Linked DNA regions of Xenopus tropicalis. The protein of the gene in region 2 purifies or fractionates together with the protein of the main gene of each other region. This does not show direct contact. Links are inferred from orthologs where the notes say so. Each region holds a gene or a part of one and is shown on either strand. Other genes may lie near its edges.

Region 1 (5,062 bases), on a different chromosome or scaffold from region 2:
AAGCAAACAGAGAGAACCTATAAACTCCCAAATGGTTAACTTTTGTAGTAAATCACTGCCAAACCCTTTAAGGGGTGGTTCACCTTTAAGTTAAAGGAACAGTAACACTAAAAAATAAAAATGTTTTAAAATAATTAAAATATAATGTACTGTTGCCCTGCACTGGTAAAAGTTGTGTGTTTGCTTCAGAAAGACTACTGTAGTTAATAGAAATAGCTGTTGTGTAGCCATGGGGGCAGCCATTTAAATTGAAAAAAGGAGAAAAGGCACAGGTTACATAAGAAGATACCAGATAAACTGTGTAGAATACAATGGGAATCTGCTACTTATCTGTTATCTGCTTAGTAACCTGTGCCTTTTCTCCTTTTTTCAATTTAAATGGCTGCCCCCATGGCTACACAGCAGGGTATTTATATAAACTGTAGTAGTGTTTATGAAGAAAACACACAACTTTTACCAGTGCAGAGCAATAGTACATAATATATTAATTATTTTTATACACTTTCATTTTTTGGTGTTACTGTTCCTTTAACTTTTAGTGTGTTATAGAATTGCCTATTCCTATTCATTATTTCTTATAGTTTTGAATCATTTTTTTATTTTCTTCTAACTCTTTCCAGCTTTCAAATAGGGGTCACTGACCCCAGCAGCCAAAAAACTATTGCTTGGTGAGCATACAGTTTTATTGTTATTGTTACTTTTTATAACTTGTTTTTCTATTCAGGTCCTCTCCTATTTATTTACCACCCTTTCATTCAAATTGCTACCTGGTCGCTAAGGTAATCTGGACTCTAGCTCTAAGATAGCTGATGAACAAAAAGTGAAAGAACTAAAAAAAATACTACAAATAAAAAATTAAGACCAATTGCAAATTGTCTCAGAATATTACACTCTACATCAGGGATCCCCAACCTTTCATACCTGTGAGCCACATTCAAGTGGAAAAAGTGTTTGGGAGCAACACAAGCATGAAAAAGGTTCCTGGAGGTGCCAATGAGAGCTATCATTGGCTATTTGATAGCCCCCATGTGGACTGGCAGCCTACAGAAGGTTCTGTTTGGCATTATACTTGTTTTTTATGGCTGCAAAACATGCCTCCTTTACCAGAAATTCAAAAATGAGCACCTGGTTTGAGGCCACTGGGAGCAACATCCAAGGGGTTGGAGAGCAACATGTTGCTCGCAAGCTACTGTTTGGGGAACACTGCTCTATATCATACTAAAAGTTAATTCAAAGGTGAAGAACACCTTTAAATCTGCTACGCAGTAAAGCTATCCATTCAGTTATTTTACACAATAGGACACTAAAAAGTGTACACATTTTCTGGTCGGTCTTCCAAATGCTTTTGCAATTCAGATTTGTTTTCAGTTTCAAAGTTATTAAGCATGTTATAAGCGTCTATTATAATTATTATGTAACAATTGCGCCACCTACTGGTATATCCCTCCAATTGCACAATCTGAGAAAACATGGTCAAAATGAAACATGGAACTGTTCTTATTGCGCTCTTTAGCGACTGAATTCCCAGCACAGAGCGTTGCCTTACATACTGGAACAATATTGGAATAAGATTTGCCTTGTCCTATAACCACTCTAGGAACTAGATGCGCCCTCTTTGTTAACTAATCCACCCCGCCTTTTCTCTGTCAGATTACGCCGCTGCCCCTCTGCGTAGCAAACTGGAGGGAACTTGTTTCGTGTCGATCACGTGGGCACGTTTCTACAGGCTTAACCAAATCAAGCAGGAACTAGCCGCTAAAGTGGCCCGGAAGCGGAAGTGGCCCTTCAAAGGAAGCGTTCTACACGCCGGGAAAACGTGAGAAGGGAAAGGAAAGACAAAAAGAAAGATGTGAGTAACTGGTGGAATATCTTCAGCCCAGCTTTAAATACTTAAAAATAAGGAAAAAAACTAGCCTTTTGTATCTACTTAAGTTTAGCTGATTGACGCTTAGAACGAATGCCTCTATGTAGCAGAGCATGCGATTGTACTAGCCGGAACTTGCCTGCACTTAGAAAATGCTGTGTAGTTCTGTGATTTAATTACTGTGGCAGAGATGGCAGTGCCAAAAAGCTTCCCTTGCAGGCTACCAGCACCAGGTCGTGTGTATAAACAGCTCCCCGGGTTTTCTCATTATGCAATTGCATGTGACACTTGCTCACTATATACAGGCATGTTAATAACATGGCTACCTGCAGCAAGTTCTCCATCATCCGGGTGTGGGTGGCACATCGCTATGAGCATTTTTTTGGACAAAATGGTACTGTTTCCCCCAACCTAAGTGCGGGTTCTATTAGCCCAATTCAAATCCGATATGTGTCTTTTAATACTAAGCAACTATTCAGTATACACGATTTAAACATTTTCAATGGTTCTAAATGTTTTCAATCAATTTCTAATCAATTCCATATCTTTCCTGGTTGGACCCACATGACAAGTTTCTACAAAGGAAATATTCTGCAGCTTTATGTGCTTGCACGATTATAGAGATCTGTGTGGTCAACTTAAACACTAATTTGTGTTTAAAAAATGCATATGACTGAAAAATATGCCTTTTAACACATTCAGCCCAGACTTTTTTGTTAGTTTATTAAGGCTTAATTGCTCTAGCAATAAGGGGTGGGACTTCACACATGCTCAGTAATGTTTTTGACTATGGGGCACTCCTTTAAAAACATGGAGGCAGCAAGTAGATAGCGATGGGTAAAAACAGCTTTAAACATGATTATTTGGGGAAAATTAAACCTAGTAATTAAAATCGTACCAAAATGGACAGTTAATAGGGTAACCCATTTTTAATAAAATTGTATTCTCCATTAAACAAAAAATCACCAGTAGACGTTTTGTTGTCAGAAAAATAGTGTTATATCTGATTTAGTACAGTGGTGTGAAAAACTATTTGCCCCCTTCCTGATTTCTTATTCTTTTGCATGTTTGTCACACTTAAATGTTTCTGCTCATCAAAACCGTTAACTATTAGTCAAAGATAACATAATTGAACACAAAATGCAGTTTTTAAATGAAGGTTTACGTTATTAAGGGAGAAAAAAAAACTCCAAATCTACATGGCCCTGTGTGAAAAAGTGATTGCCCCCCTTGTTAAAAAATAACTTAACTATGGTTTATCACACCTGAGTTCAATTTCTGTAGTCACCCCCAGGCCTGATTACTGCCACACCTGTTTCAATCAAGAAATCACTTAAATAGGAGCTACCTGACACAGAGAAGTAGACCAAAAGCACCTCAAAAGCTAGACATCGTGCCAAGATCCAAAGAAATTCAGGAACAAATGAGAACAAAAGTAATTGAGATCTATCAGTCTGGTAAAGGTTATAAAGCCATTTCTAAAGCTTTGGGACTCCAGCGAACCACAAATGGCAAAAACATGGAACAGTGGTGAACCTTCCCAGGAGTGGCCGGCCGACCAAAATTACCCCAAGAGCGCAGAGACAACTCATCCGAGAGGCCACAAAAGACTCCAGGACAACATCTAAAGAACTGCAGGCCTCACTTGCCTCAATTAAGGTCAGTGTTCACGACTCCACCATAAGAAAGACACTGGGCAAAAACGGCCTGCAGGCAGATTTCCAAGGCGCAAACCACTTTTAAGCAAAAAGAACATTAAAGCTCGTCTCAATTTTGCTAAAAAACATCTCAATGATTGCCAAGACTTTTGGGAAAATACCTTGTGGACCGACGAGACAAAAGTTGAACTTTTTGGAAGGTGCATGTCCCGTTACATCTGGCGTAAAAGTAACACAGCATTTCAGAAAAAGAACATCATACCAACCGTAAAATATGGTGGTGGTAGTGTGATGGTCTGGGGTTGTTTTGCTGCTTCAGGACCTGGAAGGCTTGCTGTGATAGATGGAACCATGAATTCTACTGTCTACCAAAAAATCCTGAAGGAGAATGTCCGGTCATCTGTTCGTCAACTCAAACTGAAGCGATCTTGGGTGCTGCAGCAGGACAATGACCCAAAACACACCAGCAAATCCACCTCTGAATGGCTGAAGAAAAACAAAATGAAGACTTTGGAGTGGCCTAGTCAAAGTCCTGACCTGAATCCTATTGAGATGTTGTGGCATGACCTTAAAAAGGCGGTTCATGCTAGAAAACCCTCAAATAAAGCTGAATTACAACAATTCTGCAAAGATGAGTGGGCCAAAATTCCTCCAGAGCGCTGTAAAAGACTCGTTGCAAGTTATCGCAAACGCTCAATTGCAGTTATTGCTGCTAAGGGTGGCCCAACCAGTTATTAGGTTCAGGGGGCAATTACTTTTTCACACAGGGCCATGTAGGTTTGGATTTTTTTTCTCCCTAAATAATAAAAACCCTCATTTAAAAACTGCATTTTGTGTTTACTTGTGTTATCTTTGACTAATAGTTAAATGTGTTTGATGATCAGAAACATTTTGTGTGACAAACATGCAAAAGAATAAGAAATCAGGAAGGGGGCAAATAGTTTTTCACACCACTGTATATATTCCCAATTCTTGCATAGACCAGTATGTTAATGAAATCTAAACTGTGGTGGGGCTAATAGTGACATGAATGGTTTATAATCTCTCTAAAGAGCTGCAGAATGTATCAGCGCGTTATAATAATCTGTATGTATACACCCTTTTATTGCACAGTGCCAATAAATATGTTGACACTTTATAGATCCATGTTAATAACATATTGCCAAATAATTCCCTGCACTTATACACAAAACTAAGAGTTGGACAGCGCATATTGTGATTTTGTTAACTGACACCATTGTTTGTAATTAAAAGGTTTAATAATTTAATGCCATCTCACACTGATTCTAAATCTCTTCAGGAGTCTCCTTAACAAGCCCAAAAGTGAGATGACACCTGAAGAGCTACAAAAGCGAGAAGAGGAGGAGTTCAACACAGGGCCACTGTCTGTGCTTACTCAGTCTGTGAAGAACAACACACAAGTTCTGATCAACTGCAGGAATAACAAAAAGTTGCTAGGCAGAGTAAAAGCCTTTGACAGGTACTATGTTGATAAAAACTTGGGAAATAAAGGGAATGAATCGGTGCATGTTTTCTGCCT
Region 2 (4,906 bases):
CATAAAGTTTTATTTTCTAGTATTATAAAAAAAAAATTAACCACTAAAAAAAAAACATTAGGTTAAAAATCGAGTTTAACCTGGGTCTCCTTCATGGCATCCTAACAGGATTGCAGCAATGGCCAAAAAAACAGGCAATTTGTGGGGGATGGGGGGTGTTTATAAACGGCTGAGTTTGGGAGACAGGGTTTGGCCAGACACAGTAGGGTCCAATAGATTAGGGGAAGAAGACTGCTATAGGAGAGAGAATTTGGGGGGACTGGGGTGTAACTCGACAGATATTATTCATCATTTACATCAGTCCCTGCCCCAGAGGAGCTTACAATCCAAGTTACTGCTGACATAACCAGTCATGGAAGGGATGGGTGGAATTCTAAACCCTTTTCTAAAAGGTTAAAGAGAATGTAAAGTCAAAATCTCATCTCTGTGTTTATATATAGCCCTAAGATGGGAAAGTTGATCTAAATAAATCAGATGGCAAAGCAGTTTAAACAGAAAAACTGAGGATACTTTCTCTGGCTGAAGAGATAAGGGTACAAGGAGAGGGGATGCACATCAGTTTGTCTTCAGTACCTGCCTGTAAACACTAGTGTAGGAGAGGGTCCTATGAGGGTAAAAGAGCAGCATCTACTGCTACGAGTAGACAATGGCAGACAGCGTCGGACTGGCCCGCCAGGATACCAGGAAAACTCCCGGTGGGCCCAGGTGTCAGTGGGCCCCCTTGCTTCTATTTAGCCTATTTCATGGTCATTCCCTATTTCTGTATGGGATCAAGGAAGCTTGATAGATGGAAGAATAGAGTATAGTATGTAGAGAAAAAAGACTAAGATAATAATGAGTTTGAGGGAGGAATTAAAAGTTTTGAGAGTGGGCCCATGGTCTAGGGGTTTCTATTGGGCCCCTGCCATCTCAGTCCGACACTGATGGAAGAGCACAGATCCAGCAATCACCCACAGGCTCTATCCTATTTAACACCTCAAGAGTAGCATGAAGGGCTGCAGCCATTCCAGGCACAGCACCTATATTATTCTATGCATCTCAGTCTGAGAAATGATAATGCATGGGGACTCAAGGAACTCTGGCACCAATTCCTCCATCTTGGCTGACATGCTGATAATCTCCTTGCTGATGCACACTGAACTAGGGCCAACTGCTTGATTTACTGACCAGTTGTTTTCAGCAGGATGAGGAAGAGAAATCCTCCTATGAGAGCACAGAGTGCTGGTTACATTTGCAGCATCATTTACACTTACATTCTCATAGTAGTGCCTGCAACAGCTACTAAGTTATAAACAGCAGGTTCAAACAGAACCGGGGGGGGGGGGGGGGGGGGGGGTTTCATAGGGGGTTTAATTTACTAGATGGTTTATAGTCGAAAAACTTAAGTGAAAAAATCCAAGTGAAAAATATTCGTAAAAACGTGAGAATAACGAGTCTCCACATGTGACATTTAACTTACTTGACTATACTAGTATTTGCTCAAAAATGGCTATTACAACTCATTGCAGCAAAAAACATGTATCACTCCAGGAACAGAAAAGTTTGGCTACGTGTATCGCCTATCTTGGAACTGGAAGAACCCGCGCACGGCTTAGCAAGAAATAAATAGGCAATTACATGTCACACAAAAGAGGACCGTCTCTATTTTAGTTATTTAGGTACAAACCCACACTATAAACTAAGATCTTTAACACCCCCGACAACATAGTCAATTATAGCATGGTGTTTCACTATATCTCCTCCACTTCCTGCACCCGGAACACTTTAGCGGCGGGCGGAACCTTTATTTCCCATAACCAAGGCCTGTAGGGAAGGTTATTCTCGTATCACTTCCGTTCTGGCGGCCTTTCCAACATGGAGACGATTTTGGAACAGCAGCGGCGCTACCAAGAGGAGAAGGAAAGGCTCATGGATGTGATGTCCAAAGAGATGATGTCTAAAAAACCCACGGTAGGGCCAATGAAGGTTGCGCAGAGAACGGGCTAACAAGACGAGAGATGGGGGGAGTGTATGTTTGCTGGGCATGCTATGCATTTCTGCAATGAAATGGACTCGGTCCTTAGAACGAAGATTATTAGTTTCTAGCAGTGTGTGGTGCTTAATGATACACTCTTTGCTCATAAGTGTCGGAAGGTGAGTGCTGGGTGTCAGGAAAGCAGGCGAGGAGAGTTCTGATAGGAGAGAACTGTATGGAACTTCCGCCTCTTTAGGCTGCACCGGGGAAGCAGCAGGATAACCAGCAGCACGATAACCAGCAGCACTAGTATGTGAGGGGAAAATGTGAGGAGACGTACGTTTGCCATATAGATATATAAGATATCTGCCTAACTTTTAAATTGCTCCCCCCCCAAGCAGTGGTTTTCAACGGGGCCCTCAGACCTAGTAAGGTTATATCTTTTTAAAGTCATTCAGCCACAGTTCCAGGGATCTCTGTGTCAGTAAATAAGTGATCACCCCAAATTCCACTACTACCCAGTCTGAGTTTCCAGGATTTTCTAAGGGAGAGAATTTAAATACACATACGCACATTAAAGCCTAACTGGCCCCCAAGCCCTATAGTTGGAGTACAACAGACATACACTCAAATAAAATGGTAGATCTTCCAGAAAGCAAGTTATGTGATGTGAAGTGACATGGTGGGTAAGACCTGCCTTTTAGATATATGAGGGTGCAGCAGTTTTGGTCAATAAAAAATAGTTTGAAAGAGCACCCAGTGCCTCTTCAATAAAGAAGTTTCAACAAAGTTCCACAAAATGACTTTAAATTGCTCATCATTTTGTACAAACTTGCATTTATTTTATGTTTTATTTCAGCAGTGCTTCGGGACAGTGAACCCTTTTGATTTTGATTTGTTATTACTGATTCTTTAACTGCTACAGAAAGTTTCCTATTTTCAGAGTAAATTATAAAAAAAAATGTATTTCACACTTGATTGGTTTACATGTTTTATACTTAGTTTTGTGTTGCACAGGACTTGTAAATGATTGTTTTCATACATGCCCCAATTTAATGTATGTCATTCATTCTTGCTCTAGTTACGGGAACAAATAAATTCAGATCACAGAGCCAGAGCTATGTTAGATGTAAGTATTCATCTCTGTTGTTTACCTTTTATATGGGTTATGTACTATAACATTGTGAACTAGTTACTGAAACATTTTACATTTTTTTACAGCAATACATGGAAGTGAGTTCAAATCTAAGGGATCTATATGAAGATAAAGATGGGTAAGAATATTTCTTATTAATTGAAGCAATGATTATAGCTTTGTATATAAAAATTGGCTAAACCTTCTATGTATCCCAATGGATAGAAATTACTAGTCCTTCATTATTTGCTAACCTGCTTTGGGCAGGTTTCTCTATAGCTTTTAAGGGCAGGCCATACATCTGTATTATATGCATATGAACAAAAAAGGGGGAAGGATTTGTTTAAAAGTGACTTTGCACACAAAAAGCTTAAAAACACACAAAAAAAAATGGACTGCTTCAAAGAAAACAAGATTTTGAATATGCAGGTTATAAATAGCTCATACTTGTAAGTCAATTTAAATAAATAATAATTCCAACCTGTTCGCTTTGTCGGATTTTACATGACTGCTTGCTTATCTACAAGGGATCTTGTTGTTAAACTATATTAAGCCTCTGAAGCAAATATTTTTTTTTGAGTGCAGTGCATGATGTATTTGACCAGTGCATCATTACTGACCCTTTAAAGTCTCTTAAACCCCCTTCCCTCATTCAGTTTATTCAGTTGGTATATCCTAATTATTTAATATACTGTAATTGGTGGCATTGGAAATCAGTATAGTAATTTTACAGTGCCTTTATTCCCTGTCACCTTCAATGACATAAATCACAGCACACCCCTCATTCCTAACTGCTACCACCTTTTTGGCAAAAACAGCAGTCTTGCCCTATATTATTGTAGAGATTTTAATTATATACTCAGGATCAGTGCAAATGTCCCACAAAGGATAATTTTCCTCCTTAGTTAGGCCGTTATCTTTTATGATAGAGTTACAAACTTAGGTGTTAAATTGCACCACAGTAGTTGCCCAGATCAACGAATCAATTTGAACAATCCGCTAGAGAATAAAAATAACAATCGGATTGGCTGCTATGTGTGCCTGCATTGGTGAAATTTAGTACCTTTTTTTTTCCAAAAACGCAACATTCATACTGGAGCTACTTTCTGGCAAAGCCACTCATTTACTACTGCATGTATGAATGGACAGCTCACTAATAGGCAATGTGTACATAATCATAGTGTAAATCAGACCTGTACAGCTGGAGGCTTTGGGCTGTATGCAACCCTCGTAGAGGTTTTAATGGCCCTCAGCATCATATGGCCACCAAACACACAAAAAATATCAGGTAAACAATTTGATAGCAGAAAAACTAAATAACTTTTGGCAAGATAAAGTAATGATCATTTCAAACTTTGTTTATAGTATTATTCCATTCTTTTATAGATTACGCAAGGAAGAACTCACTGCAATTTCTGGGCCAAATGAGTTTGGCGAATTCTACAACAGACTCAAGTTAATTAAAGAATTTCACCGAAAACATCCAAATGAGGTGGCTTTCTAACAAATGTTTCAGATTTTGGCACATAATGAAACCAACCTTGCAATATGTAAATTATGTTATAGAGAACCCTATTCTTAGCTACTTTTTAGTTGGTCTTCATTTTTTTCTTTAAATAGTTTTTAAAAGGAATTTTGGGGGTTATTAAAATTTTAAAGTTATTGCTTTATTTTTTCTTATGTTTCTATTCAGAACCCTCCAAATGATTTTCTGATCAAACCATGGCCAGGTTGCTAGTATAAATTGTATCCTAGTCAAAAGATTGCTGCTGAAATTCCAAATTCACGAGATGCTGAACAAAATAGCTTAATAATGC
Region 3 (5,014 bases), on a different chromosome or scaffold from region 2:
CAGAGTGCTGCAAATCCAACAAAGGACACATCAACCCCAAAAATAATTGTTTGCCTAATAAAAGAAAACACAATTCTAAGCAACTTTCCAATATCAATTTATTATAAATTATTAGTGCTTTAAAAGTTATTTGTAAATGTTATTGCTATAGAATGAAGCATTTGCTGAACTCCTGGTTGTTACTTTTTAAACAATATTGCAAGGGCCAGTGTCCTCCAGCAAGCAGGTCTGTAAAATCTTCTGGCATTTGTTACATTGTTTCAAGCTCCAGAGCCACCAGGGCAGAGAATAGAACGGACAGGCAGACACTGTTTTTCATAGCAGTTATATATACAAATTACTAAAAAACCATTACATATATATAATGAATGTATATTGCAAAGTTGCTTAGAACTACTTTTTATTTTATTAGGCAAAAAAATTATTTTTGGGTTTGACATGTCCTTTACATCCAAAACTCCATTATTGCAGAATTTCTTTCCCTTATGTGATAGACACAGAACCATATACCTGAGAATCCTGAAGTGGTCTTTCTATGCTCTTACCTCCTTTCTCATATTTCATAGCATCTGCAGAAGACATTAAAGGAACAGTAACACCAAAAAATGAAAGTGTTTTAAAGTAATTGAAATATAACGTACTGTTGCCCTGCAATGGTAAAACTGGGGTGTTTGCTTCAGGAACACTACTATAGTTTATATAAATAAGCTGCTGTGTAGCCATGGGGGCAGCCATTCAAGCTGGAAAAAAGGAGAGAAGGCACAGGTTACATAGCAGATAACAGATAAAACATCATTGTATTCTACAGGGTTTATCTGTTAGCTGCTATATAACCTGTGCCTTTTCTTCTTTTGAATGGCTGCCCCCATGGCTACACACCAGGATTTATATAAACTCTAGTAATGTTTCTGAAGCAAACACAAAACTTTTACCAGTGCAGGGCAACAGTACATTACAGTTTAATTTCTTTAAAATATATACATTTTTTGGTGTTACTGTTCCTTTAATTCAGTACACAGATATCCATTCTATTACACATTGTGCAAAATAGTTCAACTCTAACATGGGCTAAAGTATTTAGATATAAAAGAGTATACTTTCTATATGATATTTGACAACCACACTCTGTAACCACTGGAGCCCAGATACGGCTTCCTTTAAAACAGCGGTTCTCAACCTGTGGGTCACAAATTTCCGATGGTCTTAGGAATACTTTTATGGTTATTGGTCACCACAACATGGGGAACTGCATTAAAGGGGCGTGGCATTAGGAAGGTTAAGAACCACTGCTTTACAACCTTCCATCCTAGTCACTATATATATTTGGGATTTTTTTTTCTTCTTTCCCACCTGGCTAAACGCTTGCCATACCTTTAGAAAGGTTATTGCATTCTTTTATTCTAAAGCTTGGATACTTTTCTCTAGCCCGCACCCAACCTATGCGAAGTTGTTATTATAGCTCCGCCTACCAATAATAAAACTCAAAAAAAGTCTTCCAGCAGTATATCAAACGATAATAATTTCATAGTTAGCAGCATGTTCCAAACAGCAAAACAAGAAAAAAAAGTTTATTTTCCTTCCCTGACAAAAGTAGCTGCTGCGAGTAGACTACCGCCCACAGCAATTCTAGCAGCCTACGCTCGAACACTACATTAAGACTCACCCCCGCCACGCTTCGCGTCACTTCACTTATGTGCGTGTACTCGGGACGCCATATTCTCGCGACATGAGACTTGTGACGTCATTAGTAGGCGCCTGGCAAAAGCAAAGGAGCTGGATGTTAACGGCGTCACGGGACGTTTAAGCAGTGATACGGTACTGCCGGCTGGGAAAATCGGAACTGTCCCGCTTGTTGGGCGGTACGTTTAAATAACTGGTTGCAGTTCTGTTACACCGCTAGATGTTTGTGCGCGCTTCCTGACCTAATGCATTGTTAAGGTTTTCAGCATTGGCTTTCGCCCTATTTTTATTTGGCAAGTTAGAGCTGCATGATGTTTGTGCGTAATTGCCGAGACATTGCACACCCCAAACGGTGTCATCTGAAAAATGTCAGTATTTAAAAATAAATGGTGCTTATCCCAAGAAAAATGTTGGTTCTGCAGTTTAAAGGAGAAGGAAAGGTATAAATCACTAGGGTGCCAAAATATTAGGCAACAACCTTTCCTTAAACCCCGGGCTGGTGCTCCTTTTAGGAGAAAACTGCATCAGTCCTGGGGTAGCAGCCAGAGATTGATCCCCTCCTTCTTCTGTCTTCACGATACATGCGCAGTAGAGTGAAATCTGAACTTTAACATGAAAGTCAGCATTTTTACCCTACTGTGGATGTGCCGGTCCTGGGATTTGGAAGAACGAATACAGACGGAAGAGGATTGCTGTCTTGCAGCTACCCCGGGGCTGGTGCGGTTTTCTTCTAACAGGAACGCAAGCTCATAGTGAAAGGTAAGAGACTACAATCACTGGAGGTGTCTAACATTTTTTGGCACTATAAATAGTAATTTTAGTTCAAAACGGAAGCACACCTGTCAAATTCAACCTTTTGTCTAAATTAAACTTGGCCAACTGCAATCTGGCAAGTCAACTTGTACTAAGGTAATTTAAGTACATTCGTATCAAAAAGTTTGGGAACCCCTCTCAGCCTGCATAATTTACTCCACTTTTAACAAAAAAAGATAACAGTGGTATGTCTTTCATTCCCAGGAACATCTGAGTACTGGGGTGTTTTCTGACCAAAGATTTTTAGTGAAGCAGTATTTAGTTGTATGAAATTAAATCAAATGTGAAAAACTGACTGTGCAAAAAACCAAAAAAAACCACAAAGGTTGTTCAGTATGATGGTTTTTAGGGGAACGCTACAAAAAGCTATCTCAGAGGTTTCAACTGTAAGGAATGTAATCAGGAAATGGAAGGCCATAGGCACAGTTGCTGTAAAACACAGGTCTGGCAGGCCAAGAAAAATACAGGAGTGGCATATGTGGAGGATTGTGAGAATGGTTACAGACAACCCAAAGATCACCTCCAAAGATCTGCAAGAACATCTTGCTGCAGATGTTGTATCTGAACATTGTACATTCTACAATTCAGAGCAACTTGCACAAAGAACATCGTGATGAGAAAGAAGCCCTTTCTGCACTCACGCCACAGACAGAGTCGCATGTTGAAGCAAAAGCTTATTTTGACAAGCCACAGTCATTTTGGAACAAAGTGCTTTGGACTAATGAGACAAAAAATCAGTTATTTGGACATAACAAAAAGTGCTTTGAATGGCAGTGTAACGGTACCTGGTGGTCTAGTGGGGCGATGGGGATGCCCGCCATATTCTCTTAGGCGCGCGTCCATCTCCTTTTTAATGCGCATGCGTGCCTGTCTTCTCCTTTGACATGCACGCATGCTCACTCGCATTTTTCCGCTCGGTGTGTGAGTGAAGTCATTTTGCCGAATATTTAAAACGCTTCCTTGTCTATGTTCATTGCCCAACTTAGGTCTTCTTCATGTAAGTTCCTGGGTGTGTTTCTTGTATTGCTCCGTTCTGACCCTTGCCTGTTCCTGACCATCTTCATATTGCTGCCTGAACTGACCTTTGCCTGTTTTTGACTACTCTTCCGGATTCCGTTTTGGTACTGCGCTGTCTGATTGTTATTGGCCTCGGCCTGACCTCTGGCTATGCTCTTCCTGTAACACGAATCTGGTTCCCTTGCTTGCTCAGAACTCTCTCCTTGGGTCTCTCACTGTAAGACCTGGCGGCATCCGAGTAGTGAAGGGCTCCTCCTGACGTGAAAGGCGGCTGTTAAAGGCAGAACGTGAGCCGTGACCGGACCCTTGGCACCTGTTCTGAGTTTTGGGATACCGATCGTGACAGGCAGAAGAAGAACACCACCACATTCCAAGAAAACACCCGCTACAAGAAAATAGAACATTCTTGTCCAAAGCATTATCCGCTGGCTGCTGCCAGAAGTGTTCTCTGGCCTATGCACCTTACTAATACGATTTTGGCAATGTACACAGCCAAAAGTTCAATACTGTAGTTAACATTGCTTCATGCAGTCTTTTTGTCTGGGTAATACAAGCCTTCAGTGAATGCCTTGTGTAGCCTTGATTGTCCCTTACCTGAGCCATATCACATAGCATGTCATTCAAGAAGTTGCATGCAACCAGAATTATGTATATTAGCCAATATTTTTGTTTTCCAGGTTAATGCAATAAAATGTCTTTATATGATGATCTTGGTGTGGAGACCAGTGACTCAAAAACAGAAGGATGGTCAAAAAACTTCAAGTTATTGCAATCCCAATTGCAAGTTAAAAAGGCAGCTCTTACACAAGCAAAGGTACGTTGATTCTCACTAGATGATCAAATGAAGGTTTTAAGCCAGATTTGGCTGAATCTGGCCATAAAATTTCACTCATTTGCGGAACTTAAAATTGGTGGGCCATATACACGGTCATACAGCCCCTTGCAAAAGAATTATAAACAGACCTGTGCAAGGACTGCATAAATGGTTTGACGCAGAGTGTGGTTTTGAGTGTGGCTGCTCGAGCCATGTCTCTTTGTAGTTTCATCCCAGTATGGAAGATTGTCCTCAGTGGGCTGCTGTATATATTTGTTTGTTTCTGCATGCACACTACAAAGTGGGCCATGAAGAAGGGAAGTAAAACTACTACAATCCTTTCACATTAAACTTGAAGTTGGCACTTAAATAATGTTATTTGGGCATTAATTGTGAATTCGATTCATACTTTTTCTTGCTGATTGAGCCAAATGATAGATGTTGGACTATTTTAACTGTCGTAGATCTCATGACGGAGGCCAGGTGGCAAGACTAGATCACTGGGTGACAAAGTCTAGGCACCCCTGCCTTATGGGATTCTCTAACCTGCATGACAAATGCCTTCCTGATCCTTTGGCAGATATCATTTGAGTTCACAGCTATTGTTGGCTTGTGTATGGCTACCTTTAGAATTATTTTTTTGTTCCTTTGTCCAAATAGAATGCAGTTTGCATTGGTTTTATGCTCTAC
Region 4 (4,918 bases), on a different chromosome or scaffold from region 2:
GGCAAATTTTAAAAGCTCAGGGGCTCTGAAAATGTACAGGTTTGTCCTTTTGATTAATTTTATGATACCAAGTACTAGCAAAATCGGATTGGTAGGTGTGTGACTTAGGGGCAAACAAAAGGGGGTAGTAAAACCATTTATCTAAATTTGTTTTATGACTGATATTTTGAGACAAAATTATTAGCGTGGGCTAACAGAGCCTTTATATAATAATTGTTTTTTTTTTTTTTTTTTTATAGCCCCCTACAGTGCTAGGCTGCCAGCACTGGGAGGAAGGTCCTGGTTCAGGCAGCCATGTTGTGGCACTCACATGTGCATAACAAGTGAGTGCCACAAATCGCTGCTTATGCATATGTGTGTGATGTAGGTGGGCAAGTCGCATCCGCAGCTCCTACATTACATGCATGCACATAATAAGTGAGCGGGAGTCTCCCGCATAATGCGCATGCATGCTTAATTAACATGGCCGCCGCACTGGGAGCTCCCTCCTGGTGGGGGGCGGCCTAGTGCAGACAGACTTTAAAAAAAACCCAAAAACTACTGCATCTCCCAACCAGAGTGTGGGCTCTATTAGCCTGCAACTTTGGTGGGGAAGCAATTTTAGCGCGATCGGTGCCCTTTAAGGTAAACGTATGACAAATTAAAAGAACATCTTTGAAAAAGGTTTTGTTGCATTTGGTTGTACCCTATGGTATGATAAAATCTGACAGGTCCCCCTGCCCACAACAGACTGGCCCATTCTATTTGACCAAAATTTTGGTAACTAAAAATAGCTGTTGACTTTCTCCCGGATGAGATGTCTCTGTCAAGTTGTTGTCCCATGTCCAAACAAATTTGTGGTAACATGAAAGAACACAACAGAATAGGTTGGAGATGTGAATAGGCATTGCAAGCAGGGGCAGAATATTTTGTAAACTAAGGGCTGTGGCAGACGGGGAGATTAGTCGCCACTCGACAAATCTCCCCGAAATGCCATCCCACCGGCTAGAATGTAATTCCCGGTGGGACGGCATACATGGCGCAGAAATTGCCGAAGTTCCTTTGCAACTTCGGCAAATCGCCCTGCCGCATATGCCACTGCATCGGCGATTTACATTCTAGTCGGTGGGATGGCATTTTGGGGAGATTAGGTGCCCCTGGTTTAAAAATTAGCACTGAGTACCATAAACTGGGAAGTTGTCCAATGGCTGAACACAACAGTAATCACAGATTAGTATCACTGTTATTTGCAGTTATTGGTGCTTTACTAGGGCATCCAACAAAATTTAAAGGAGGCATATAGGATTAACAAAAATATTCTCTTAGTTCCCTGTTTCAAATGAGGGAGGGGGGCGTGTCCTAACGGTCCCTGCCATAAACACAGTAGGAGGGGGGGTTGCCAATCACAGCCCTGCACTCACACAAAGGAAGGCTTCAGCTCCCTATCAGGTTTGCCTAGATCAGGGATCCCCAACCTTTTTTTATCCGTGAGTCACATTCAAATATAAGAAGACTTGGGGAGCAAAACAGGCATAATACATGTTCCTTTGGTTACTAAATAAGGACTGTTATTGGCTATTTGGTAACCCCTATATGGACTGAAAAACCTACAGGATGTTCTGTTTGGCAGCATATCTGGTTTTTATGCAACCAAAACATGCCTCAAAGCCCATAATTCAAAAATAAGCACCTGTTTTAAAGCCACTGGGAGCAACATCCAAGGGGTTGGAGAGCAACATGTTGCTCACGAACCACTGGCCTAGATGCAGCCTGGGAAAAGAAGGCAGCAGGTAGTAAAACAGGTGGGTGGGGCTAGTGGGTTTTTGGGCGAAAATTTCAATAAACGCTACTTTTCTTAGCACATTCCATCAAAATAAAACTTACTGCACAGAAGCCAAGTCTTAGCAACAAAAGACAGCAGAAGTTATGTAACCTATGCTGCCGGAACTGTATTTTTGAGGTGACACGCATGTGTATATGACAAGACCTACACTCTGTATTCAAAACAGCATGGCTTCACCGACTTACAGAGAAGACACATTGACCAGAACCAGTCCCTGCTCTTTGCACCACAGGGGTTACTAATACACAGCCAATTATGATCAGAGTCAAACCACAATTGTGGGGAAGCTTCCCCTTTTCTACATATTCCCCACCGGACCTACCTCCTACCAATAAATGTTCACCCTGACCCACAGATCCAAATGCTCATAAGTGTGAGACCAATCAGAGGAGCTGGCTGAAGTTGCCATATCCAGCACTGGGGTGCATGCTAGACTTTCAGTAATTCACATTATTTAATGCCAGCTTGCAAATGGTTCCACCTGCCCACTGGGCAATCATGGATGCACACAGCTTATTTATATATTAAGTCTGAGAAAATTCATTATTTCCCACCAGTAACACCTTTGCTAGTAGTATATAAACCAATACACACTGAAGCAAGACAAAATGGTATGTCTCTTTTATAAAGATATTATCAATAAGTATTTCCATTGTGCACATTAAGTACACATAGCAATGTTATGGTATATATTTATGTGCCCCTCTGTATTACCTGTGATCGTGCCATGCACTTGGGTTCCGTTCTTAAGTTCCACTGTGACAGTTTCATGACTTAATTTCATCAAAAACCTATGAGAAAAAAAAACAAAAGCGTTCATGGCCAGCCGCTCGTGATGAACCCATTAGTTACACAGTTTATATTACAACGCAGACTCGCTAATACATTATTATCCGACGGAGCCTTTACTTCCCGCCGTAATCTTCTACTTACACAAAGCTCTCAAACGTAACTCTCAATCCACCACCATCCTCTGTGAAGGAACCCATAACAATCTAAACGCTTACCTAACTAACTTCATGACTTCTTAATACGAACGCGGATCCGACTCCTTCGGCCAGAAAAGGGTTATAGGACTGGCAAAATGAAACGCGAAAATTTACTTTTAGACCCTCCGAATTCTCATTGAGCGAAAGCAACGTTCCAGCGGAAATCGGCACCTACGTCAGATCCGGAAGCGGAAGCCCCAGTCGAGGGCGGAAGTTTTTGTTACATGTGTAATAGAAGATGAAAACGCTAGCCTGTCTCCACGTAGAAAAAGGAGAATTACATTTTCGACTTTTAAAAAGCAATACTATAAGGGGAGGCCTACACTGCAGTTAAGATACTTGCTTAAATAAAATGCACAAAGCGGCGTTCCAGCGAAGCCTTTTATGCTTGTGGATTACTTAAAATTTCGTCTAATACAGCGCAATGCATTTATAAAGAAATACTGTTGTAATAAAAACTTAGCATACATAGCTGAGCTAAAGTCAACTGGTGCATTTAATTCAACAGAAACGCTACAACACCATCGGGGCGGGGCCGAAGTAGAAGAGGGCGTGGTATTGAAGCTAAATTTCATTTTGGATCTAGGTTGGCCATTGGCATTGCATGGCATGAAAATAAGTATTCTCACTATTAAACTTTATTTTTAGGTAAAAGTTAATGTTTCGTTTTCTGAAGACAACATCCCTTTACCTGCTTACCTGCCACTGCATTTTTTTTTTTTTACATGCTTTTGATATGCTGTCTGCAATCCCCATTGTTAGAGACCTTTAGACAACTAGTGCTGAGGTTTGAATCTTCCGTAGGGACCCATAGGGTTAAGCTCCCCTATGGCTTTAAATCCTACCTCTTCTGATTTTGTACTGTTACTGGGCAACAGGGCCGGAACTAGGGGTAGGCAGAAGAGGCAGCTGCCTCGGGCGCAACGATTGGGGGGCGCCAGACAGGAGCCTCTTCTGCCTACCCCTAGTCCTGCTACTTGTCATTGCCCCCACCGCTTGTAATTAGTGGTGGAGGCAATGACCGATTGGATTGCACCCCCCCCCCTTGCGTTTGTTTTGGCGCCATTCGGGGAGAGGGGGAGTGGCCAAATGCCTAAGCACACGCAAGGGGGTGGGGGGTGGCCAACCGGGTTGCCTAGGGCGCCTGGTCAGCTTGGCCCGCCCCTGCTGGGCAAAGTCCCATGTATATAGTTTACACCTTATTGGTTATTTGGGTTGATCACACCCCTTGCAGTCTCATATAGTGTCTAGCAAGGAGATGTGACTTTCTCTTTGGCTGCCTTCTGAATCTCAAGGAACAGCTCCACTGAGCCTGGGACCACTACACCCTTACTCCGCATGGTCTCTTCCACCTAGCGAAGGCCCATTTTGTCTAAGAGAGTCGCATGTAGCCCATGCTCTAAACCTAACACTAGCATGGGTTTTGTCTATATATAGCCAAACAAGCGTTACACTTCACTTCTTGGACCCAATACCCTCACAATGAGTACTACTTAAAGCACTGATCCCCAACCAGTGGCTCAGGAGCAATATGTTGCTCACCAACCCCTTGGATGTTGCTCCCAGTGGCCTCAAAGCAGGTGCTTATTTTTGAATTTCTGGTTAGGAGGCAAGTTTTGGTTGAATAAAAACCAAGTATAATGACAAACAGAGCCTTGTGTAGGCTGCCAGTCCACATAGGGCTACCAATAGCCAATCATAGCTCTCATTTGCCACCCCCAGGATTATTTTTATGCTTGTGTTGCTCCTCAACACTTTTTCCATTTGAATGTATAAAAGGTTGGGGATGTAACCTATAAAGGCTGGAGTGAGCAGATGTCTAACATAACAGCCAGAAACTCTACTTCCTGCCACATGGGATATAACTGTTCAAGTTAGTTTGTGAGCACGCAGGACTGATTGCAAACCAAACGTTATATTTTTTGTACTTCGTGCAGTCTATTTTACTCAGTTTCATTTTTACACTAAATGGTTCCTTTAACAGCTCAGGGAGGATCGGAAGACCCAGAGAGGTACACTGGCCATGGGAACTAAGCCTAACAGAGTATAAAGCTAATACTTTGGCTGTGGCTGAGGCTAACATTAATTGCAGGGCAGCAGTAAAGAA
Region 5 (4,975 bases), on a different chromosome or scaffold from region 2:
ATTTTACTCTACTGCACACAATTTCCTATGCAAGCCTATAGTACATGCCAAGGGATCATTTGGAAGATGGCTGTGCTGTGCTAATGAAATACACCACTATGCTAGTGCACCTTTCAGTAAAGAGGAGAGCAAGCCCAAAATCCAAGGTAACGGATTATATTCCTTAGGGACTCCCTAATTAATTCCTTACCCTTTAAGACTTGTAATACTATAACTATACATGGTAAGACTGAAAAATGTTACAAATCAATTAAACTCAAAAAGACAAGGCTATTCAGCTCCAACTCAATGGACTTTTAGTCCAGAACTGTTGCACTCTTGATTTGCAGCCATCCTGTTTGATAATTTAAAAAGGCAATGATTTGCACCCCATACCATGCTGTGATATATAGGTAATGAAAGACTAAAGGTCCCCATACACGGGCCGATAGTAGCTGCCGATATCAGTCCCTTGGGCCGATTCAGCAGCTAATTGGCCCGTGTAAGCGCACTCCCAACAGGCCTGCCCGACCGATATCTGGCCTCAAATTGGCCAGATCTCGATGGGGCAGGTTAGAAAATCTAGTTGGATCGTGGACCGCATCGGCTCATTGATGCAGTCCCCGGACCGACTTTTCCTATACCTGCTGTTATAATTCGATCATTTGGCCCCAGGGATCGAATTACCCTGGATTCTCCCGATATCGCCCACCCATAGGTGGGGGATATCGGGAGAAGATCCGCTCGCTTGGCGACATCGCCAAGCGAGCGGATCTTATGGTGTATGAGGACCTTAAGTCTAACCTTACATGCACCCCACAACTACACACACTTTTAAACAGACTGTAAATTCTTGATTTTCCCCACTCAGCAGATGTTAAGCAATGTCATTTTTTTAATAATGTCTAATGTAATACAACTGCTGAATATAGAATATATAATCAGATATATCAGAGATATCAGATATAGGACTGGCAGCAACACTTAAAAACCATTGCTTGTTGAGAAATAATCAGTTGCACAAAGAAGACAAAGGTGAAACATTTTTTGCATATGAACAAATGCAATTTATATTTTAAAAGTTTAAGAATTATATATACTCACATTTTTCACAGAGTCTTCCAATAGCTGCAATAGAAAATTATAAATGTAAGTGTTTATATATATATATATATATATATATATATATATATATATATATATATTAAACAGTGGTCATCATGTTGTACACATATCTTAAATATCTAAAATGCTTTAAAGGACATGTAAAACAAACAAAAATGTAATCAGTGAACAGCCTCATTGAAATCTTTAAATACCTGCCACTCCTGTTGTTCAAACGGTTAATAGAAAGGCTGCAGTATCCCCTTAATCACTTAGGATTTCTTTTCCTCCTCTAACCCGCTCTGCCCCATCCCTTATGAATTGACTTCGGCTGGTGGCTAACGAGCATGCTCAGTTCTTCTTAACTCAGGTTACCAAACACAGCCTCCAGTCTAGCAGCCAATGAAGAGATCACTGCTGGTTTCCCTAGAAACGCTGCTCTCGCTGTGTAATCTGCTGGAGCTCAGTTTACGGTTACAGGGCACAATCCAAGCAGGACTTCTTGTTAAAGTAACTTTAATATGTGCAATTTACAGATGTTAAAGGAAAAGGAAAGGCTAAGTCACTTGGGGGTGTCAAAACGTTAGGCACCCCCAAGTGACTTTAATTGCTTTCCTTTTACCCCGGGCTGGTGCCCCTGTTAGGAGAAAAACGCACCAGCCTGGGGTAGCTGCGAGTGTGGTCTCCTCTTCTTTCTTTGCGCACTTGCGCAGTAGAGTGAAAAGCCAAACTTTAACAAAAAAGTCGGCTTTTCACTCTACTGCACATGCACCGGCCCAGGGATTTTGATGAGAAGGAAGAGGAGACACTTGCTCACAGCTACCCAGTGCTGGTGCGGTTTTCTCCTAACAGGGGCACCACACAGGGTAAAAAGTAAGCGATTAAAGCCACGTGGGGCTGCCTAACATTTTTTTCTCCTTTAATGTCACTAAAGATGTGCGAGAGAGAATATGGCCACCGGGTAAAGCTGCTATTTGCTTTAGGAAAATGTGATGGTTTTGGCAAACAGAGGGGTTATATGCAGTACAAATGGTAAAGTTTGGTTGGGGGGGGGGGTATGTGCCAACTTATATACGTGGTAGGAAGATAAATGGTTTACATGTCCTTTGAAAGCTGTAGTAAAGACTAGCTTTACTAGCTCCAACAACTTGCCAGTACAAACATGAAATTAATTTATAAATTCAGTAAGGCATTAATTAACCTCAAATGGTATTGGCTGGAACTGTTTCAGTATTGTATGTACCGACGTATCATTGCATGTATAGTATCAGATTACCAGGAGGTCCACAACAATGAAAGCCCTAAGCTTTAGAATTCATTATCTGTTATGTTAAATACAATGTAGCTTTAGAAAAAGGAAAACATTAAAAAAAAATAAAAAATACAAATCTGTGTTTCTATAGCACGCTGTTTTTTTGCCATTACACAGGTCACAGAGTAATCTCACCCATTCGATGCACCTAAACATTGTGTTTTGTCATTTTCCCTCACATTCATAACATAAGAAATTCATGTTGGAAAGCACTTCAATAGTAACATTACTGTGCAGATCACCTCTGTAATTATAATAATCAACATTTCCCTTAAATAAGAAGTTAGGTTTCTCTGCAGATTTCTGCAAATATAGGACAAGTTCTGTTGCATGAGTTTAAATAGGAAAGTCAGATTGTGCTTTAGTAGAATTGCAATAATCAAGGAGTTAGCATTCAGCGTATAACTAGATCAGGTTCAAGCTCCACCTCTCAAACTACAATCTGAAACATAAATATACATAACAATTATAAAACTGAAGTATTGTGGATAACAAATAAAAGAGGGTTAATGAAGCCCTGTGAGGGAACACATATACCTGTTACATACGCATACAAGGAGAGTATACACAAGTACCGAACGTGCTATCCGAATGATTTAGAAAGGCAATCAATAGAAACGGCCAATCTATAATGCCTACGAGAGGAGAGTTTTCTGTCCTCAGTTTTACACCGTTACACCGAACACATTACCCAGCGCAACTCACCCACGCCCGCCTGTTTTCTGCAAAAAATCAAATCTGGATGATGCTTCGCCATGTCTGTTTAAATTCCTTTCCTTCGCCGGCCGCGCGTTCACTCCAGTTCTGTGTTCCAAGCCTCTTTCTCGCCCATGGACTTTACGTCATTTCCTTGCTGTTACGCCTAGGAAACTTAGCTTGTGGGTTCCAATTGGTTAAAGAATCGCTTAGACGCTTCTCTTCCTTCTTGTGCGATGAACTTTTACACCGGATATCCTGTTAATAGGCGTTTCGCTTTATAAAAGATTTGCGTTTTTTCGGCCCCATAGTACTGTTTCCTTTAAAGGGGCAGTCTACAGCTAAACATACTTTGCCAAAAATAAAGTACAATAAAGAAAATGCAATTAAAATATATTCTATGGGGCAGATTTATCGAAGTACGATGTTCATACGTTTAAAAAGCATGATACAAAAAAAATCGTATCAAATACGTTTTTTTGTATCATGCTTTTTGAAGTACGAAAAATTTGTATTTAAGAATATAATAAAATCGGATCTTTACGATATATATATTTATATTTGAACAGTCGTAAAATGTGGGAAAATCTTTCTGACTTTGATCCTTCTGTGCATGATTTTGGAAGCCTCCCATAGGACTCAATGGCACTCTGCAGCTCCAACCTGGCCCAAGGAAAGTCTCCCATAGGGCTCAATGGCACTCTGCAGCTCCAACCCGGCCCAAGGAAAGTCTCCCATAGGGCTCAATGGCACTCTGCAGCTCCAACCTGGCCCAAGGAAAGTCTCCCATAGGGCTCAATGGCACTCTGCAGCTCCAACCCGGCCCAAGGAAAGTCTCCCATAGGGCTCAATGGCACTCTGCAGCTCCAACCTGGCCCAAGGAAAGTCTCCCATAGGGCTCAATGGCACTCTGCAGCTCCAACCCGGCCCAAGGAAAGTCTCCCATAGGACTCAATGGCACTCTGCAGCTCCAACCCGGCCCAAGGAAAGTCTCCCATAGGGCTCAATGGCACTCTGCAGCTCCAACCCAGCCCAAGGAAAGTCTCCCATAGGGCTCAATAGCACTCTGCAGCTCCAACCTGGCCCAAGGAAAGTCTCCCATAGGGCTCAATGGCACTCTGCAGCTCCAACCTGGCCCAAGGAAAGTCTCCCATAGGGCTCAATGGCACTCTGCAGCTCCAACCTGGCCCAAGGAAAGTCTCCCATAGGGCTCAATGGCACTCTGCAGCTCCAACCTGGCCCAAGGAAAGTCTCCCATAGGGCTCAATGGCACTCTGCAGCTCCAACCTGGCCCAAGGAAAGTCTCCCATAGGGCTCAATGGCACTCTGCAGCTCCAACCTGGCCCAAGGCAAGTCTCCCATAGGGCTCAATGGCACTCTGCAGCTCCAACCTGGCCCAAGGAAAGTCTCCCATAGGGCTCAATGGCACTCTGCAGCTCCAACCTGGCCCAAGGCAAGTCTCCCATAGGGCTCAATGGCACTCTGCAGCTCCAACCTGGCCCAAGGAAAGTCTCCCATAGGGCTCAATGGCACTCTGCAGCTCCAACCTGGCCCAAGGAAAGTCTCCCATAGGGCTCAATGGCACTCTGCAGCTCCAACCCGGCCAAGGAAAGTCTCCCATAGGGCTCAATGGCACTCTGCAGCTCCAACCTGGCCCAAGGAAAGTCTCCCATAGGGCTCAATGGCACTCTGCAGCTCCAACCCGGCCCAAGGAAAGTCTCCCATAGGGCTCAATGGCACTCTGCAGCTCCAACCCGGCCCAAGGAAAGTCTCCCATAGGGCTCAATGGCACTCTGCAGCTCCAACCTGGCCCAAGGAAAGTCTCCCATAGGGCTCAATGGCACTCTGCAGCTCCAATCTGGCCCAAGGAAAGTCTCCCATAGG
Region 6 (5,148 bases), on a different chromosome or scaffold from region 2:
ATAATACAACATTATTGTACCAAGTTCAGGTGGTGCATGGTATTTTCCCCTTCTCAATAACCTGAGTAAGGGAAGGGGGGGGAAGGACACAACAAAATGTTGGGCTTCACCAAGTGTGTGCAAAAACGGTTGTATTAGAGATCTCAGCAGCATGTGGTCTTCTTTATATCATTTATCAGGCAGAAAACCTGCTGTGAGGACCCTGAATCTAGATGACCGCTGTGGGAGATACAAACACATACTGGAGATTGCAGAACTACAAAATGCAATGGGTGTTAAAGTGAAAACTGATTGGGTGTAGTTAAAAAGCGCAAAGGAATTTTAATGTGCAACATTTGTTATCTCTCTATAGGTCAGGCCCTCCAGCCTTTTTTAAATTGCAAAATCTATACTGGCACCCCCAGTGGTGTAAATATATAGGAAGCAGACCCCACAGTTGCAGGGGTGGGTCCAGGAGACAAGGGCCCCAGACCACATGGTCTACTTTCTCTTTAGGTGTAAGGAGATCCCCACTCACTGGCTGCTCTCCTACGTGAGAGTGAGTGGTGGAGAGTGGGGGATGTATGCAGGTGAGTGGGGGATCAGTATGGGGTTAAAGTGTGGACTAGGCCCCTCCAAAGTGCTGTGTAGTTACACTGTATATATTTTTAGAGCTAGAGTAGACTCTAAAATACAGTAGATATTGGTAAAAGAATTGTCACTTGTATTGGGGTCAAAAAAGAACTAAAGCTTAACAAAGATGTGGGGTGCAAATGCTGATAAAAGCCATAATACAATGCTGATAAGTTGTTAAACCAGATTTTTATTACATGAAAGGAATACAGTTTGCTCCAGAATTTAATAATAAACCCTGTAGCATCAGCTTCAATAACAGGAGAACCTTATTTTCTGCTTTCTGATTTCTGACAACCCCTAAGCTTTGCTTCTCAACAGCTGCCCAGAGCCCACTGAGTATGTGCAATGTCACTGACACATCTAACAAAATATTGTGGTTGCATTACGAAAGTCACAAAATTTTCGGATCCGAACGTTCATAAATGGCGTGAAAACCTTTCTGGCTTTGTAACCTTCAATGCATGATTTTGGGAAGCCTTCCATAAGACTCAATGGCACTCTGCAGCTCCAACCTGGCCAAAAGATAGTCACGATACCAAAGGTTGAATGAATCCCGAAATGGTTGTAGTCTTTGCGAAAAATACGAAGTTAGTGCAAATCACAAAAAAGTCGTGGAATGTGAGCGAAATTATTGTGGACATTCCGAAATGTTCTATAGAAAAATGCTATTTTTTTTTCTAAAAAAATGAATGGGCCCCTATATGATAACATGAAATAAGGACTCAAAAAGGCATGGAGTGGATCATTATCATGGGGTTGGTTAACAGCTCTGGTGTGCTTGTTTTGTGCACCTCTTCTCAAGATGTAATATAAAGGACATTTACCCAGCTGCAGTAACCTAGAGAGCAAGCAATACATGTTTGATTTTATACAGGTGAAATGGTGCCATAAGTTACTATAGATGAGGTAAAATTTGTACTATTGTTGCTTCCCAAATGAATTTAAAACAGCCCTGACCCCCACGTATTGCCCTAACGTTCCCTGCCATAATTTAATAATGAATACCGCCGTTCCACTGTATTACACAGGTGCTTAAAATTTTGGCGGAAAGACAAAAACAGTTGTTTATTATATGACACTCTAGTCGCAACCTGGGAATGTACAAAACGTCAAAGAAAATAACTTTATGATCAATTATGCGAAGGCGGTTTTGCCCTTACGAAAGATGGCCGAAGTGACCTCGGAGCCGTGACGTACGTCTCTTTCCTGTTCTAATGCGCGTTTGCTGGAAATCAACGTGCGACGCCAGCTTGGAGCCGTAAGGCGCACGGAAGCGTGTGTGAGCGGTAAGGAAGGAGCTTGTATGGGTGATTGCCGGGCTTGTTTGTCATTGTACGAGGGTTTCTTTTGGTAATAGTTCTATACGTTCCGCTCCTTCGCTTGGTGAGAAGCTGGCAGCGGGTAATGAGCAACAACTTCCCCAGCAGCCACGTCCAACTCCTGCCCGTTCTGTTGCTATTGGAATAAAACGCGCCTGTAGTGCGGGTTTATATGTAGCTGTAACTCGGTTAAGGGGCAACTTCGTGTGGTAATTAATGGTATTGATTGATTTGTAACTGCAATCAGTTTCCATACATTGCAACCAATCAATAGAGCTGTCCCTGATCTGTGTGCGACTGGGGGTCGCCAGTGTATGGCTGGGAAAGAGCTGCACTAAAGCTTATAATTGTGTATTATACACACACTAATATACACAGGGGCAGGCTAGTTTGCCTGTATATTGTTGGGTATGGGAGAAAAGTGCAGTGACTAAATCATAATACTACAGGTATGGGATCCATTATCCAGAAAGTTCTGAATTACGGAAAGGCCATCTCACTTAGACCCCATTATAAGCAAATCATTTTAATTTTATAAAATGATTTCCTTTTTCTCTGTAATAATAAAACAGTACCTTGTACTTGATCCCAACTAAGATATAATTACCCCTTATTGGGGCAGAACAGCCCTATTGGGTTTATTTAATGGTTAAATGATTCCCTTTTCTCTGTAATAATAAAACAGTACCTGTACTTGATCCCAACTAAGATATAATTAATCCTTATTGGAGGCAAAAAATCTTATTGGGTTTATTCAATATTAAAATGACTTTTAACAGAGTTAAGTGATGGAGATCCAAATTACGGAAATATCCCTTATCCAGAAAACCCCAGGTCCCGAGCATTCTGGATAACAGGTCCCATACCTGTACTACTAAATCCAGCAGTTACATGTTTTTAATAATGGGATGTTATTTTGTAGTAGTCTGTATATTTCATATTTATTGAAAAATATGCCGGGCTATGCCTTATAGTCTTATCTGTGTTGCTGAAATTGTAGGCTATAAAAAGAAATTCAATTTAAAAGCATGCATTATACTATTACAGGCATGGGACCCCTGGGCTTTTCCAGATAAGGGGTCTTTATATAATTTGGATCTCCATGCCTTAAGTCTACTAAAAAAATAATTTAGTTGGGAACAAGTACAAGGTACTGTTTTATTACAACAGAGAACAATTTAGTATATTTTCAAATAGTGAATTATTTTAATAAACTGGATAATGGGTTTCCAGATAACAGATCTCATACCTGTACAAGCATGTATTTGGTTTTATGTATAGATTTATGTAGGTTGAATTCAGTTGGAATTTCATGGCACATGTTATATACAATAATAATATTCTGATCTGAAAGTGGGTCTGACAGATGTGGTTCGCAGGCTTGTCTAATGTGCAATATCATGGCGGGTTAGTTTTGGTAATATTACAGTGTGCCTGGCTTTTGAAAATTATTGCTTTACTCTAGGGAAGTGATTCCCAATGAGTGGCTCATAAGCAACATGTTGCTCCCAATGGCCCCAAAGCAGGTGCTTATTTTTGAATTCCTGGCTTGGAGTTTTGGTTGCATAAAAACCAGATGTACTGCCCAACAGAGTCCCTTTAGGCTGCCAGTCCACGTAAGGAATACCAAAGAGGTAATAACAGCCTTTTTTTGGCACCAGAAGGAATTTTTTTTTTTTTTTCATGCTTGTGTTGTTCCCCAGCTCTTTTTACATTTGGATGTGGCTCACTGGTAAAAATGTGTGTGTGGCACAGTAGTCCATCTCCAAGGAGAAAAGAACCTTGAGTAATACTGTACTTTTTTTCTATATCTAAGGTCCTTTTTTTTTTTTTTAACATCTCTTTCAGTATTTAGAATATACAAGCCATGGATATTCGGCCAAATCACACTGTCTACATCAACAACCTCTGTGATAAAGTAAAAAAACCGGGTAAGTGTGAGGAGCGTTTAAATGTTGAATATTATACACTCTCAGTCTACACTCTATACAGTCTTTCCTGGCAGAGTACACTTTACATCTAGACAGCAGCATTGGTATTGCAACTCCTTATGCTGTTATCTGTGAAGGCATTTTTTACTCTCCTATATCCTTTGTATTCCCCTAAATAGTAAAAACTGCAGAGAAATGAAGAAAAACAAACAAACTTAAATATCCTTCAAGCTTTAAAAGTGTAAAACTAACTTAAAAAAAAATCTGCTCAGAAGTCTACTTTTTCCATTTCATATACTACTATTCTTCTGCTATTTATTATGCTTCTTGCCCTAGATATTATTGCTGTTTATTGATCTAGTGCTCACCAGTGCTTAGCATTTGATGGCAGCAAGTAGGTAAAAAGGCCATCAGTAACGATTTCTTATCATTTTAGATGTTTTTTTTTTATTGAGGATGGTGCCTGCCTAGGTGCTTCAGTTAAAATGTGCACCACTGCAATCAGCAAGCAATACGAAAGGAGAGAGTGTCGGCAACATGTGCAATCACGGCCGCACCCAGTCATTTGTATAATCACTAATATGCACAGAAAAGCTTCTTGTGCAGAATATCCCATGGCACTGGTTTTAGTAATAAATGTAATAACTAATACTGATATTCTATTTTCACCTTATCAAAATCCGTGCAAGAGATTTAACCATACATGTTTTTATACTTATACTGTGAAGTTTTTTTTTTTTTTTTTCTTTTCAGAACTAAAGCGATCATTGTATGCGCTATTCTCCCAGTTTGGCCATGTTGTAGACATTGTGGCATTAAAGACCATGAAAATGAGAGGACAAGCGTTTGTAATCTTCAAAGAGCTGAGTTCTGCTACAAATGCTCTGCGGCAGTTGCAGGGTTTCCCTTTTTATAATAAACCAATGGTAAGTTATTCCTCATCCAGGAATTTTTATGATTTACCTCACTCTGTATAGAAAACTTTATATAACTGTTCTAAACTTACTGAAAGATGTATATATATTTTTTTTTATAATTAAGCATAAAACTGTAGTTTAACTAGGGACAAATGAAGGTTTGGATAATAGAAATTGCTCCACTCTGCCAGCCCTTGCACAGTAAACCTGCTCAGAATAACTAATTGAGACAAAATAACAGATATATGGCTCAAATTCCAACCTTCTGGTTCTTTTCTTGGGGTACACAATTAAAGGTTTTATTGCCTGTTGCCATAGGCCAGCCAAAGTCTAGAGTCCCTTGGAATTGTGTGGAGTGGTTGTTGG

Evidence for each region. The genes of interacting proteins can lie anywhere in the genome.
Region 1: the proteins of sf3a3 (region 2) and snrpd2 fractionate together in Homo sapiens (co-fractionation; 3 studies listed by BioGRID and IntAct, with this or other methods). This does not show direct contact. The link is inferred for Xenopus tropicalis from reciprocal best matches to the Homo sapiens genes SF3A3 and SNRPD2.
Region 3: the proteins of sf3a3 (region 2) and rbm17 purify together in Homo sapiens (affinity purification with mass spectrometry; 4 studies listed by BioGRID and IntAct, counting the BioPlex papers as one, with this or other methods). This does not show direct contact. The link is inferred for Xenopus tropicalis from reciprocal best matches to the Homo sapiens genes SF3A3 and RBM17.
Region 4: the proteins of sf3a3 (region 2) and snrpd1 fractionate together in Homo sapiens (co-fractionation; 3 studies listed by BioGRID and IntAct, with this or other methods). This does not show direct contact. The link is inferred for Xenopus tropicalis from reciprocal best matches to the Homo sapiens genes SF3A3 and SNRPD1.
Region 5: the proteins of sf3a3 (region 2) and phf5a purify together in Homo sapiens (affinity purification with mass spectrometry; 3 studies listed by BioGRID and IntAct, with this or other methods). This does not show direct contact. The link is inferred for Xenopus tropicalis from reciprocal best matches to the Homo sapiens genes SF3A3 and PHF5A.
Region 6: the proteins of sf3a3 (region 2) and snrpb2 purify together in Homo sapiens (affinity purification with mass spectrometry; 6 studies listed by BioGRID and IntAct, with this or other methods). This does not show direct contact. The link is inferred for Xenopus tropicalis from reciprocal best matches to the Homo sapiens genes SF3A3 and SNRPB2.

The regions. Positions count from the first base shown.
Region 1 is NC_030684.2:70,385,722-70,390,783, reverse strand, and holds the start of snrpd2 (small nuclear ribonucleoprotein Sm D2), read left to right. Parts: upstream 1-1,776; 5' UTR 1,777-1,847; coding exon 1,848-1,849; intron 1,850-4,822; coding exon 4,823-5,002; intron 5,003-5,062. UniProt on the Homo sapiens protein: Plays a role in pre-mRNA splicing as a core component of the spliceosomal U1, U2, U4 and U5 small nuclear ribonucleoproteins (snRNPs), the building blocks of the spliceosome.
Region 2 is NC_030678.2:83,832,516-83,837,421, reverse strand, and holds the start of sf3a3 (splicing factor 3A subunit 3), read left to right. Parts: upstream 1-1,847; 5' UTR 1,848-1,854; coding exon 1,855-1,950; intron 1,951-3,035; coding exon 3,036-3,083; intron 3,084-3,175; coding exon 3,176-3,228; intron 3,229-4,475; coding exon 4,476-4,581; intron 4,582-4,906. UniProt on the Homo sapiens protein: Component of the 17S U2 SnRNP complex of the spliceosome, a large ribonucleoprotein complex that removes introns from transcribed pre-mRNAs.
Region 3 is NC_030679.2:84,315,651-84,320,664, reverse strand, and holds the start of rbm17 (splicing factor 45), read left to right. Parts: upstream 1-1,728; 5' UTR 1,729-1,815; exon of another isoform or gene 1,816-1,859; intron 1,860-4,187; 5' UTR 4,188-4,201; coding exon 4,202-4,324; intron 4,325-5,014. UniProt on the Homo sapiens protein: Splice factor that binds to the single-stranded 3'AG at the exon/intron border and promotes its utilization in the second catalytic step. Involved in the regulation of alternative splicing and the utilization of cryptic splice sites.
Region 4 is NC_030682.2:65,069,551-65,074,468, forward strand, and holds the start of snrpd1 (small nuclear ribonucleoprotein Sm D1), read right to left. Parts: upstream 3,287-4,918; 5' UTR 2,844-3,286; coding exon 2,830-2,843; intron 2,614-2,829; coding exon 2,537-2,613; intron 1-2,536. UniProt on the Homo sapiens protein: Plays a role in pre-mRNA splicing as a core component of the spliceosomal U1, U2, U4 and U5 small nuclear ribonucleoproteins (snRNPs), the building blocks of the spliceosome.
Region 5 is NC_030680.2:120,350,941-120,355,915, reverse strand, and holds the start of phf5a (PHD finger-like domain-containing protein 5A), read right to left. Parts: upstream 3,287-4,975; 5' UTR 3,153-3,286; coding exon 3,101-3,152; intron 1,108-3,100; coding exon 1,084-1,107; intron 1-1,083.
Region 6 is NC_030681.2:29,851,750-29,856,897, forward strand, and holds the start of snrpb2 (U2 small nuclear ribonucleoprotein B''), read left to right. Parts: upstream 1-1,862; 5' UTR 1,863-1,901; intron 1,902-1,903; exon of another isoform or gene 1,904-2,153; intron 2,154-3,782; 5' UTR 3,783-3,801; coding exon 3,802-3,865; intron 3,866-4,618; coding exon 4,619-4,791; intron 4,792-5,148. UniProt on the Homo sapiens protein: Involved in pre-mRNA splicing as component of the spliceosome. Associated with sn-RNP U2, where it contributes to the binding of stem loop IV of U2 snRNA.